Linked DNA regions of Caenorhabditis elegans. The protein of the gene in region 1 purifies or fractionates together with the protein of each later gene. This does not show direct contact. Each region holds a gene or a part of one and is shown in the gene's direction. Other genes may lie near its edges.

What was found.
Region 2: the proteins of F37H8.5 (region 1) and ZK470.6 fractionate together in Caenorhabditis elegans (co-fractionation; one large-scale study listed by BioGRID). This does not show direct contact.
Region 3: the proteins of F37H8.5 (region 1) and T10B10.9 fractionate together in Caenorhabditis elegans (co-fractionation; one large-scale study listed by BioGRID). This does not show direct contact.

Annotation. Positions count from the first base shown.
Region 1 is NC_003280.10:11,186,136-11,189,974, forward strand, and holds F37H8.5 (GILT-like protein F37H8.5), read left to right. Parts: upstream 1-2,070; 5' UTR 2,071-2,115; coding exon 2,116-2,312; intron 2,313-2,378; coding exon 2,379-2,759; intron 2,760-2,811; coding exon 2,812-2,890; intron 2,891-3,084; coding exon 3,085-3,261; 3' UTR 3,262-3,302; downstream 3,303-3,839. Other genes in the region: sfxn-1.2 (Sidoreflexin), read left to right, coding at 486-706, 988-1,209, 1,259-1,344, 1,392-1,519, 1,592-1,758, 1,806-1,892.
Region 2 is NC_003284.9:4,175,592-4,179,430, reverse strand, and holds ZK470.6 (MD-2-related lipid-recognition domain-containing protein), read left to right. Parts: upstream 1-2,123; coding exon 2,124-2,222; intron 2,223-2,270; coding exon 2,271-2,490; intron 2,491-2,537; coding exon 2,538-2,751; intron 2,752-2,802; coding exon 2,803-2,947; intron 2,948-3,067; coding exon 3,068-3,160; 3' UTR 3,161-3,366; downstream 3,367-3,839. Other genes in the region: mrp-6 (Multidrug resistance-associated protein lethal(2)03659), read left to right, coding at 1-22, 68-316, 701-976, 1,026-1,202.
Region 3 is NC_003284.9:15,162,660-15,165,355, forward strand, and holds T10B10.9 (uncharacterized protein), read left to right. Parts: upstream 1-1,748; coding exon 1,749-1,917; intron 1,918-1,977; coding exon 1,978-2,129; 3' UTR 2,130-2,196; downstream 2,197-2,696. Other genes in the region: T10B10.8 (Nucleotide-diphospho-sugar transferase), read right to left, coding at 115-282, 334-433, 492-808, 858-1,034.

The DNA of each region.
Region 1 (3,839 bases):
TTCTTCAGGTTGCCAAAAAGTGCCAGCGAAGTTAAGACTGTTTAGATGGGATGTATCTGAAAGTTAATGTGCGGTGCATTGCAAAATTCTTGCATTTTTCAAAGTGAATAATAGCACATCGCGAAGCACATTGGACACCTTTTTCAATAATAGCACATTGGACACCTTTTTCATCGAATTATTCGGTATTTGGCTCTAGCTTCTTGCCCACGTTTTGCCCAAAACTATTAACGTTGATGAGAAATTGGCAAAACTTCGGCGAAAGTTGGGCAAGATTTTGACAAGACCTGGATTTAGGCTGCGCCAGATTTTGTCCCAAGTTTGATCAAACTCTTGGAACACTTTGGCTCAAACTTTTCTTGTGCCGCTTTGAACTTGAGAGACCCGAAAATTTGGAAACGCCAGAAATCAATAAATTACAATCTGATTTACTTCTGATTTTTAACATTTATTAACCTACATTGTAAAGAAATCCTCTTTTCCAGGTCGTGTCCGTCACTTTTTCACTCTTACTAACCCACTCACCCTGACCTCATCAGTTGCACGACAAGAGCAATGCCGACAAATTGTCTTGGACTACAAGAACGGAAAAGTCAGTCCGACGTTGACTGTGAGCGAGTTGTGGAAGGCAAAGACGTTGTATGATTCCACGTATCATCCGGATACCGGGGAGAAGATGTTCTTCTTGGGAAGAATGAGTGCACAGGTACATATAAAACCAATTGAAGCAACACAAAAAAGTTTGTGTTAAATATTGGCCAGAGTTGACTCAATCTTTAGTTAATTTGGCGTAGTCTGACCAAACTTTTGCCCATGCCAAATTCCGAGCCAAATTTATTTTTTGAGCCAAACTTGAACAAAAATTTAACGCCAACTTCCCAGAAGGTATTTCTTTGCTCCAAAAATAATTAAAAACAATTATAAAAATATCTAATGAAATTCAATCTTTGCCCTAGAAGCCTCTCTTTTCAATATCTACAGTTTCAGATGCCCGCCAACATGCTCATCAACGGAATGCTCTTGAGCCTTTACCGTACATTCCCGGGTGTTGTATTTTCCCATTGGATTAATCAATCGTTTAATGCAGTTGTCAACTACACGAACCGCAGTGGAAACAGTAAAACCAGCAACGAAAGGCTCATTCTCTCCTACTCGTGTGCTACTGGAGGAGCTATGGCTGCTGCTCTGTCACTGAATGCGATGGTTAAGGTAAACAGCTGAAAAAACATCTGCCGAATTTTCCTTTATAACATTCCAGAACAAGAACAGTATTGCTGCTCGCTTGGTTCCGTTTGCCGCTGTAGCATTGGCTAACACAATCAACATTCCGATGATAAGGAGCAAGTGAGCTGATTAACATGAATTATTCAAATTTTAAAGACGATTTTTAGCGAAGTAACAGAAGGATTGGAGTTACGTGATGAGAACGGAGAGCTCTTGGCAAGGTCCCGACAAATGGCTATACTCTCCATAGCACAAGTCACATTGAGTCGGATTGCAATGGCAATGCCAGATATGGGTAGGTTTTATCAAATGTTAAGCTTTTATAGATTTGCCTCCTGCTAATATATTTTAAGACAGTAATTTTCAGTGATGACGCCAATCATAATGAACCGAATCACACGAACGATGTACTACCGCACCCGTCCCTGGATGAAATACTCCGAGTACCCGATTCAAACTATGCTCGCTGGGATGGCTCTCTTCTTCACCACTCCAATGTGTTGTGCACTTTTCCCGCAGAAGACGGCAGTTGAAGTAAGATAAAACATAGATAATTATGCATTGGAAACCCAATATTTCAGGTTACCAAACTGGAAGCATCAGTTCAGAAAGAGATATTCTCCCGAGCCGATGCGCCTGAAGTAGTGTTCTACAATAAGGGATTGTGAGAAAATCAATTCACACTTAGGACGTTTTTCAACAATAAATATGATTGTTGAATTTTCTGAATGCCACGGTTTGGCAATACCCAAAAAGTTTCAGAATCCAAAATGTTGTTATCAAAAAAATCGATAGTTGCTCCTCCGCCTGCAAAAACCCCTAACATCAGCACAACCATAAATCATTCATTTGACCCAATCATCTCTGTTTTGTTCTGTTTTTATCTTTTCAATGGACACCACATGTCGCTGCCTGTTGACCCCCACCATCCAGCCAGTCTTGCTCAAAATGCTCTATCGACTCGTTGCCGCAATTTTGCTCCTTGGAGCTGTTCAGGCCACAATCAACTGTGCTGCTATTCCGACATCATTGTGGTGCTCGAATAAGGATCTTGAGGCGAAATGTGGATTCGCTTCCTTCTGTGATAAGTTAGTATCATAACATAAAATACTTATTTGAAACTGTAAATTTTAAAATTTTGTTTAAATCTTCAGACATCGCGCCGCCACTCACAATCAAAAAATCAACATCACTGTTCTGATCGAAGCTCTCTGCCCAGACTGCCAAAACTTCCTCACCAAGCAACTATACCCAATCGTCTTCAAAAACTTTGCCAACTATGTCAACATTGAACTAGTCCCATTCGGAAATGCAAAGGTCCTGGAAGATGGAACAATCAAGTGCCAGCACGGAGAGGAAGAATGCTCGATTAACAAGTTCGAAGGATGCTTCATCGACTCCATGCAAGACCAGAGCCCACTTCCAACTCTTTCTTGTATTGAAGAGAGTCTTCAGAAGAAGGTTGAATTTGCAGATGCTGTTCAACAATGTTTCGAAAAACTTCAAATTGGAGGGGATATTCAGAGATTGACACAGTGAGTTTGTGTTGAGAAAATGTTTAAATTCTGAAGAGCTGAAAGTTTTCAGATCCTGTTTGGTGTCAAAGCTCGGAGCTGATCTTCAAAATAAAGCCGCCGCGGCCACAGCCAATGTTTGGCCTGAGCAGGTTATTTTTCAAAAATTTAAAAATCAATGAAGATTTACCAAATCACCGTAAAATTTGAATTCAAATAGTTATGATAAATTCCAATTTTTGAAAGTTTTTAATTTTTTTTTTCGTTTTTTCTAAAACTTTGACTGATAATTTTAAATAATCTAACAATTTTTAACGGATCTTTCATGAAACTTAAACTATTTCAGCACAAGTTCGTCCCATGGGTGATCATCAATGGGGTCTCTCTCACCAGCTTCCAAGGATTCCAAAACCAACTTCCAACCCTCCTCTGCGAATGGTATTCTGGAGACAAGGCCATTCCATACTGTGAGGCTGCTCTCAAATTGAAGTACAAGAAGGCCAGTATTAGAAGCTTCTTTTAAAGTGTTCCCTTATAAAGTAATTCGAATAAAATATTAGCAATATCCTCCGGAAGGCGATTGCCTTGACCTGATCTGTTTACCTTCTCGATGAAGGAAATCAAGAATAACTCACATTTTTTCCTGCTTTACGCGGAAGAGAACAGGGAAAATAAAAAGAAAATCCAATTAAATTCGCCTGAGAATTCGATTATCATATAATGTTGCACTTCCTCCCCAGCAGGATTGACCTTGAAGTTTTTTTTGGAAAGACTCAGCTCTTCCGAAGATTCCCCCTTGATCATAATCTTTTTTCTAATTCGATTAGCATTTTTGCAACTTTATAACTTTGAAGATTACAATCACTGTAAATTATTTGGGTCAAGTTTTTCACACAAATTCAAGGTAAAACAACATATCTAACATAGAAAACCCGTGGAACGTGGCCACAAAAATATTTTTGTTCTTCAAACTGGCACCGATAAGCATCGAGAAGAGGGTCACCTGTGAATTAAGAATTATGCCAAGGTTTTTGTAATCCGGTTGAAAATGGAAGTGCCATAAATCTAGTTGTTATTCTTTGGATCAATTGGGTCACAGTT
Region 2 (3,839 bases), on another chromosome or scaffold:
TGTTGTTTTAGGTGGACAAAAGGTGAGTTACTAACTTTTTGTTCAGAGTATTACTTCTGAAACTTAGATTGGAGTCGTCGGCCGAACTGGTGCTGGTAAATCAACACTCATTAAAATTATTTTTGGACTGAAAGAGTACTGCTCTGGACGTGTCACTATCGACGGTGTGGATCTGGATCACATTAGTCTTAACTTCAGAAGAGGAGGAATGTCTATCATTCCGCAGGAGCCCGTAATCTTTTCAGGAACGGTCCGGGAGAATTTGGACCCGTTCGATGAGTATGATGATGCTACTATTTGGTTTGCGTTAGAGCAGGTATGGCTTTAATTTATTGAAGAATAACATGTGAGAATGAAATTTTTATAAGCCATTTTTATGGCCCCTATAATCTTGTTTTAACACCATTGGCTTTACAAATTTTATTGAAAAAGTAAAATGTTGACTGGGCAAAGATTGAGCAAGACTTGGACAAGACATAAGCAAGACTTGAGGAAGACTTGGACATGACCCCTCCCAAGTCTGATCCAACTTTTTCTCATATTTTAACCAAGTTCAAACTTCACCTCACCGTAGCCCTAGTTTTGTCCTATGTGTGCCTAAATCTGATCCAACGGTCTAATTTAATACGAGATTCCGAAATTCATATGAAATCGAAATTTTTAATAGATTCTGTAGGATAATCGTTGAAAAAATTTTCAGTGTGAGCTTAAACGTTCCATCACAAAAGAAAAAGGATTGAACGTCGAATTGGGCCAACGGGGAGTCAGCCTGTCTGTCGGTCAGCGTCAACTTTTCTGTCTTGCCCGAGCAATGATCCACCGATCCAAAATTCTTGTTATTGATGAAGCAACCGCAAATGTTGATGGAGTGACAGATGCTTGCATCCAGAAAACAATTCGAGACTTTTTCAAAAACGCCACAATCATCACGGTGGCCCACCGTCTTCACACCATTATGAACAGCGATAATGTAATGGTAAGTGGTTTCTCAACAAGCAAACAATGCCTAGGTTCGCAACTTGCAGGTGTTTGAAAAAGGAGAGCTCGTCGAGTTTGACAAACCGATCACTTTGCTGGATGATCAGAGCTCGCTGTTTTCAAGAATGGCTGCTCAATCAGGGGCTGAAAATTTTGACTCCCTTCGGGCGGCTGCATTGGCCCATGCAATCGATGATCAGTCATCGTATACGGATAATAGTTAAAGTTTCATTAAATTTCCATGTTTTCTAAATATTCAAATCATAACTTGTTTCACTTTCACATCATTTTATAGCAATTCAATTGTTCAATGTCACCTTTTCAAAGGGAATCGAGATTGTTTTTATTTCACTTTTTATTCCATCATTCCATTGAGCACAATAATTCCTTGTTCATACCATGATCTAAGATCATTTCGGTTTTGGCCCAGTGATCGCATCGTCCACATCGTGTAGCTTTATATGTGTCGAATTTAATTTTTCTTTGGTAATATCAGCAATTTTGTTCTGTGGTTTTTTTCTGACTTTCATGATTCTAATCGAAACATGTATTTCATGCAAGCTATTCTTTTCTCCATCCCCCTCATTTTTTTCCAATAAAGAAACTCTGTTATTTTTCTGTTTTTATTTTGTGCTCTGTGTTTGCACTGTCCCATGGAAATAAGCAGACCATTTCTGTGACGAGTGTCTGATAAAAACTTGTCAAGAGTGAGGAAGAGAGCCGTCTAGAAAGCAATGAGCAAATCTTCAAATGCCAAAAATGGCAATCTCGAGTGCTTCACCATTTGCTCTAATTAGAAATTGATCGAGCGACAAATGCGGGCTCTCGAGTGATTTGGCGGAGCTTTGGAACCAGGTGCGAATCGCGTTTTTGTCGGACTTTCAAGAACGCCCCACATGTTGGGCGCTCTACAAAAAAAGACGGTCAGGTATATAAAGCACAGAAAACAGCAGAACAGAGCGCACCCGTCGACCTCCCGCTAGCACCTGAGGCAATTCAAAAACCAACCCGCACCTTTTCGTGCGTCGAGTGCTCTATTCAATTTGCACTCATCTGTGTTTTATTCTAAACATTCGATACACCCAGGTTGCGGCCAGTTCCAAAAAAGTTTCCAAGTGAAGATTTCAACAAAAATTCTGTTAACGATGAATTTCCGTTTTATTCTACTATTCTTAATATTCCCTTTTGTTTTTGCAAGTTTAGAAGAATTTGAGCAAGATAGCGCTGAAATTAAAAAAGAAGTGGTATTTTTTTGTTTACTTGTGTTTGTTTTGATTTAGTTTATTTTTTAGCCTGCTCGTTTTCGATCTTTCAAAAACTTTGGTAGCCATCAAGATGCCAGTAATCAAGCTGCAGAAGTAGCTGGCTCGAACGAAGATAACACTGATGACCCTGAAGTTGCACCGGATGCTCCATACCTTATGGCAGATTCTTCTCTAGAACAAGAAGAAGAATGCGTTGCTCTTCCGAATCGAACACGAGTTCGTCCGTCGTTTTTCCAGTGTAAAGAAGGTACAGTACTTCTAGTAAAACAGAGCCCTAAATACCAAAAATTGTAGACACAAAGTTTGAACTTCACGGCGGTGCAATTACAAACGGCAACGGTGATGATACCTACCCGGTTTCCTTCAACTCGCCTATTCGAATTTTCCTCGACATCACCAGTAATTCTAACAAACGATATGACAATTTGGGCGTCGAAGTGTCAATCTTTAAACGTTCAACCGGATGGTTCGGATGTGGGTGGATGTTTTTACCAAGCTTTGGGCTGTTGTAAGTTGTTTTCTTTGCAGAACACCGAAAAACATTGAATGTTTTTTTAAGGAGCAACTATGATATGTGTGACGACAACCCGTCATGTCCGGTGACTCCGGGACGTCAGGTTATCGAATTCGAGATTGATCCAACAAAGTTGTTTACGAATCTGTTCCGAATGATTCACTATGACTTGGTGGGTACTGACCATAAGGTAAACGCGATGGCTATTGTACTGGAGAGCCGTTGACGGACGCTTAGCAAATACGTTTTTTTTTCTTAAATTGAAATATTAAAAAGAAATCCACTTCTTCAGTATACTTCAATTTTTCAGTCCGCCTACCAAATGATGGTTCGAGTCCGAGACAATCGAGATCCCTACCGAGAGTTGCTTTGTGCTACGATCCAAACTAGAATCACACTCTGAGACCAAGACACTTTTTATTTATTTATTACCAAGATCCTTATCAGCAGTATTTATGAACGATAACCGGGACGCAACCCAATTAATTTAATTCCCCTTCCCTACCTTCTCCCCCAGTGAACACCAGAACCAAGTGGTTTCTATTCATCCAGTTGTTTATGATTATGACTCTCTGTTACAGGTTATCAAAAAATGAATAATATAGTATATTCTGTTTTGATATGTGGGAATGGTCTGGAACAACTAAGGTGCATGTGTGAATAACAAGAATTGAAAATCACATGGGATCCGGCTTTCGTTAGATCTCTGTTTTGACACATGTTTATCTCGAGTAATAACGCTGAAAATTCCATAATTCCATAATCATTCTGCTGAGAGAGTAAATTAATTTCTTGCTACTCAGCGGAGAAAACTTCCAGAGGAATTAATTAGTCAAAAAGAAAAACAACAAACAAATAATATTTGTTGAGTAATGTACACTACTTGCAAAACTTTTGTCGACCAATGAGCATCAAATGCAATATGTTAAGCGATTAACATTAACGAAACTTTAAAAAATATGTATATAAACCTGATCGTTGAGAAAAAAGTAAATAACACCGGGGAAAGTGCGCGGGAATGGTGATAATGAAGTGGAAGCGTTGTTCGGGATAAGACCAGTAGCTGGAATGCAGTCTAGTAT
Region 3 (2,696 bases), on another chromosome or scaffold:
TAGAAATATTTCAAACAAATTTTTTGTACACAGTCGAAAATTAGTGATGTACCCTCTACTCTGCAGTCAAGCCTCTAAAATTCAACTTAAAAAAAATTATTGTTAAAAACTCACCAAATTTGACGTGAAAAACACCCAGGCAGCAACAGGTTGTGCAGACGGATGTGCAAGTTTTAATGCAAACCACATTGAGAACAAATATATGGATTGAGAAACTAAATGAGTTTCTATGCTGCTGACACTCCTCGTACTGATTACGTTGACCACAAAGCGCTCGATAACCTGAAAATATTATAATTTGTGAAGTTTTTACTCAGCTTTATAAATTCTTACCAGCTTTATGACAAGTAGAGAAACTATGAGCAAGCAATTTGTGGTGGCCAGAGAAACGCATGTATCAAAATCTGCACTTGATCCTTGCTCCATTTCCTGCCTGAAATTTAAATGTATGTGACATTTGAAAAAAAAATTGTGTCTATAGCTAATGTTACCTTGCATCCAACCACATCCAATTTAAGTCAAATATCGGATAGGTCCACCACAACCATGGCTTTGTTGGCCCAAGAGTGTAATGGAAAATTGCAGGGTCCACAAGTAACCTTCCATTGTTCAAATAATACATTCCAATATCGTAATTAAATTGTGCAGATAATCGATTCATGGAATAGTTCTCGCACGTATGCGGTGCTTTGTTCGGGTCATACATTGGTGCAAACTTGAGATCGCTAAAGTAAGTGTTCAAAAATCCTTGATCACCGCCATCGTATGACTCCGCTGATGCAACATGCTGCTCCATGTCATGGAAGACCTTAAATTGCATTTGATTTGTAAACATTTTAGAGGATCAAAAAACGTACAGTTTCATTGGTTTTCAATACGAAAACCCCCGAGTTGAACATATCCGAGTGTCGAAATGAGGCACAAAATGATCCACACTCAAACAAGGTTGAGATGTCTCGAGTTGGCAAAATATCCAAATCAAGATGGACGATGACGTCAAACTCGGTCATCGCCCAGAGTCGGATTTTGGTGTACTGAAAAATAAAAATTTGGTGAACAATTAATGAATGAAAATCTGAGTTTAAATTTTAGTAAGACCTTGTGTACTAGATTGGAAATGTTTTTCAAAGTTATCTTTTCTTTCAAAATTTCACACACCAACAAAAATTTTATCAAAAAAAAAAACGTGCTATAAAAATTTGAACTTGTATATTAAAAAAATTGCACTGTGAAGAGCTTAAGTTAGAAGAAAACTTTTTCACAGTGAGCTAATGATGAAAGTGTTCAACGTATGCCAAAAAAATTAATGTTCTCTAAAGGTAGAATAGGGCCAGTGGGGAAATTGTTGAGAACCATTTTTATGCTCCCAAAATGACTGAATATCATGATGAATCTTTTCACAAATTTTTTTTTTGAATATTTTTTATTTACAGTCAAAAAAAGAAAATTACTCCGTTTTCGCTCATAACTCATATTTTTGGAAGTCGACCAAAAAACAATTTTTACATTTTTTATTGTACTGTAATTTTGCCTCAATTATTTGTATTTAAACATTGTAGGGGTCGGAACATGCCACATTGCTTTGGATTTCCTCAAAAGTTTATATTTTGCCAAATTTTGACAATTTGCCAAAACCTTAAAGTTTTTAGAGTGTTTTATATGATGTTCAGTCGTTTTGATATGATATTTGGTCGTTTTTGATAAATGTTATAAAATATCGATGTGGTGGGAACAATACGCAAATTCGGATGGTATTGTTCCCAGCACCATACATATTTAATGGTGGGATACTAAAAATCGTCCGAATAAAAGCGGGCAGCACAGCCAAAGATCGTCATATTGTCATGAAATCATCGATTCTCCTTCTTCTCATCGGATTTATTCTCGTCAGAGAAAATTTTCTCCCGAATGTGACTAGTGAGTTTCTTTTCATTCAGTAGTCGTCTTATATGGTTTTCAAAATAACTTATTTTTCAGACGACGAACTTCTGGTCATCGGAACCAAGATGTCGCCATCGGCAAGATTTGGGTGGGGGCCACCGAATACACCCACTGGAAAAGGATCGTTCGTCCAGCCACTGCCGAACGACGGGTCCCCACCCAGTCCCGTGACTCCGCCGAAGAAATGAGTTCTAATTTTTATGCCTTTCACTCTCTTGTGGCTTTTTGAAAGGAAATAAATGCATTTATTTATTATAAAAAAGGTCCCCGAAAATATTTCAGATATTGAAGATGGCTGGACCCTTGAAATGAGGATCTGAATTATGGCCTATAGAAGGTGAAGAACAGCCAGCGGAAAATGATTTACAAAAAAAAAATATTTTTATGGTCTCAAAATGACTGAATATCATAACTGGAACTTTCAAAACGCCTTCGCCTGCCTTGCGACTCGAGCCGCGCGTTCTGGATACTGCGGCGCGGGACCCGAAAAGTGTCGGTCGCTGCGGAAAAACCACTGTTATGGTGTAAACTCAAATCGTTGACTTCTCGCCATAGTCAGGTAAGAGGCAGGCGTTATGTCGTTGAACCGTGCCTGCCTCCCATGAAAAAAAAATCTTTGACATTCACGTAAGAATCTGGGAAACCTCAGTCTTCATTTTTTTTTTGAGTAAAAAAAACCTTCAGAAACATGTTATGCTATTCAAGCTAAAAACGTCGGAAACTGAAAAAAAGATCCATTTTGAGATAAATATATA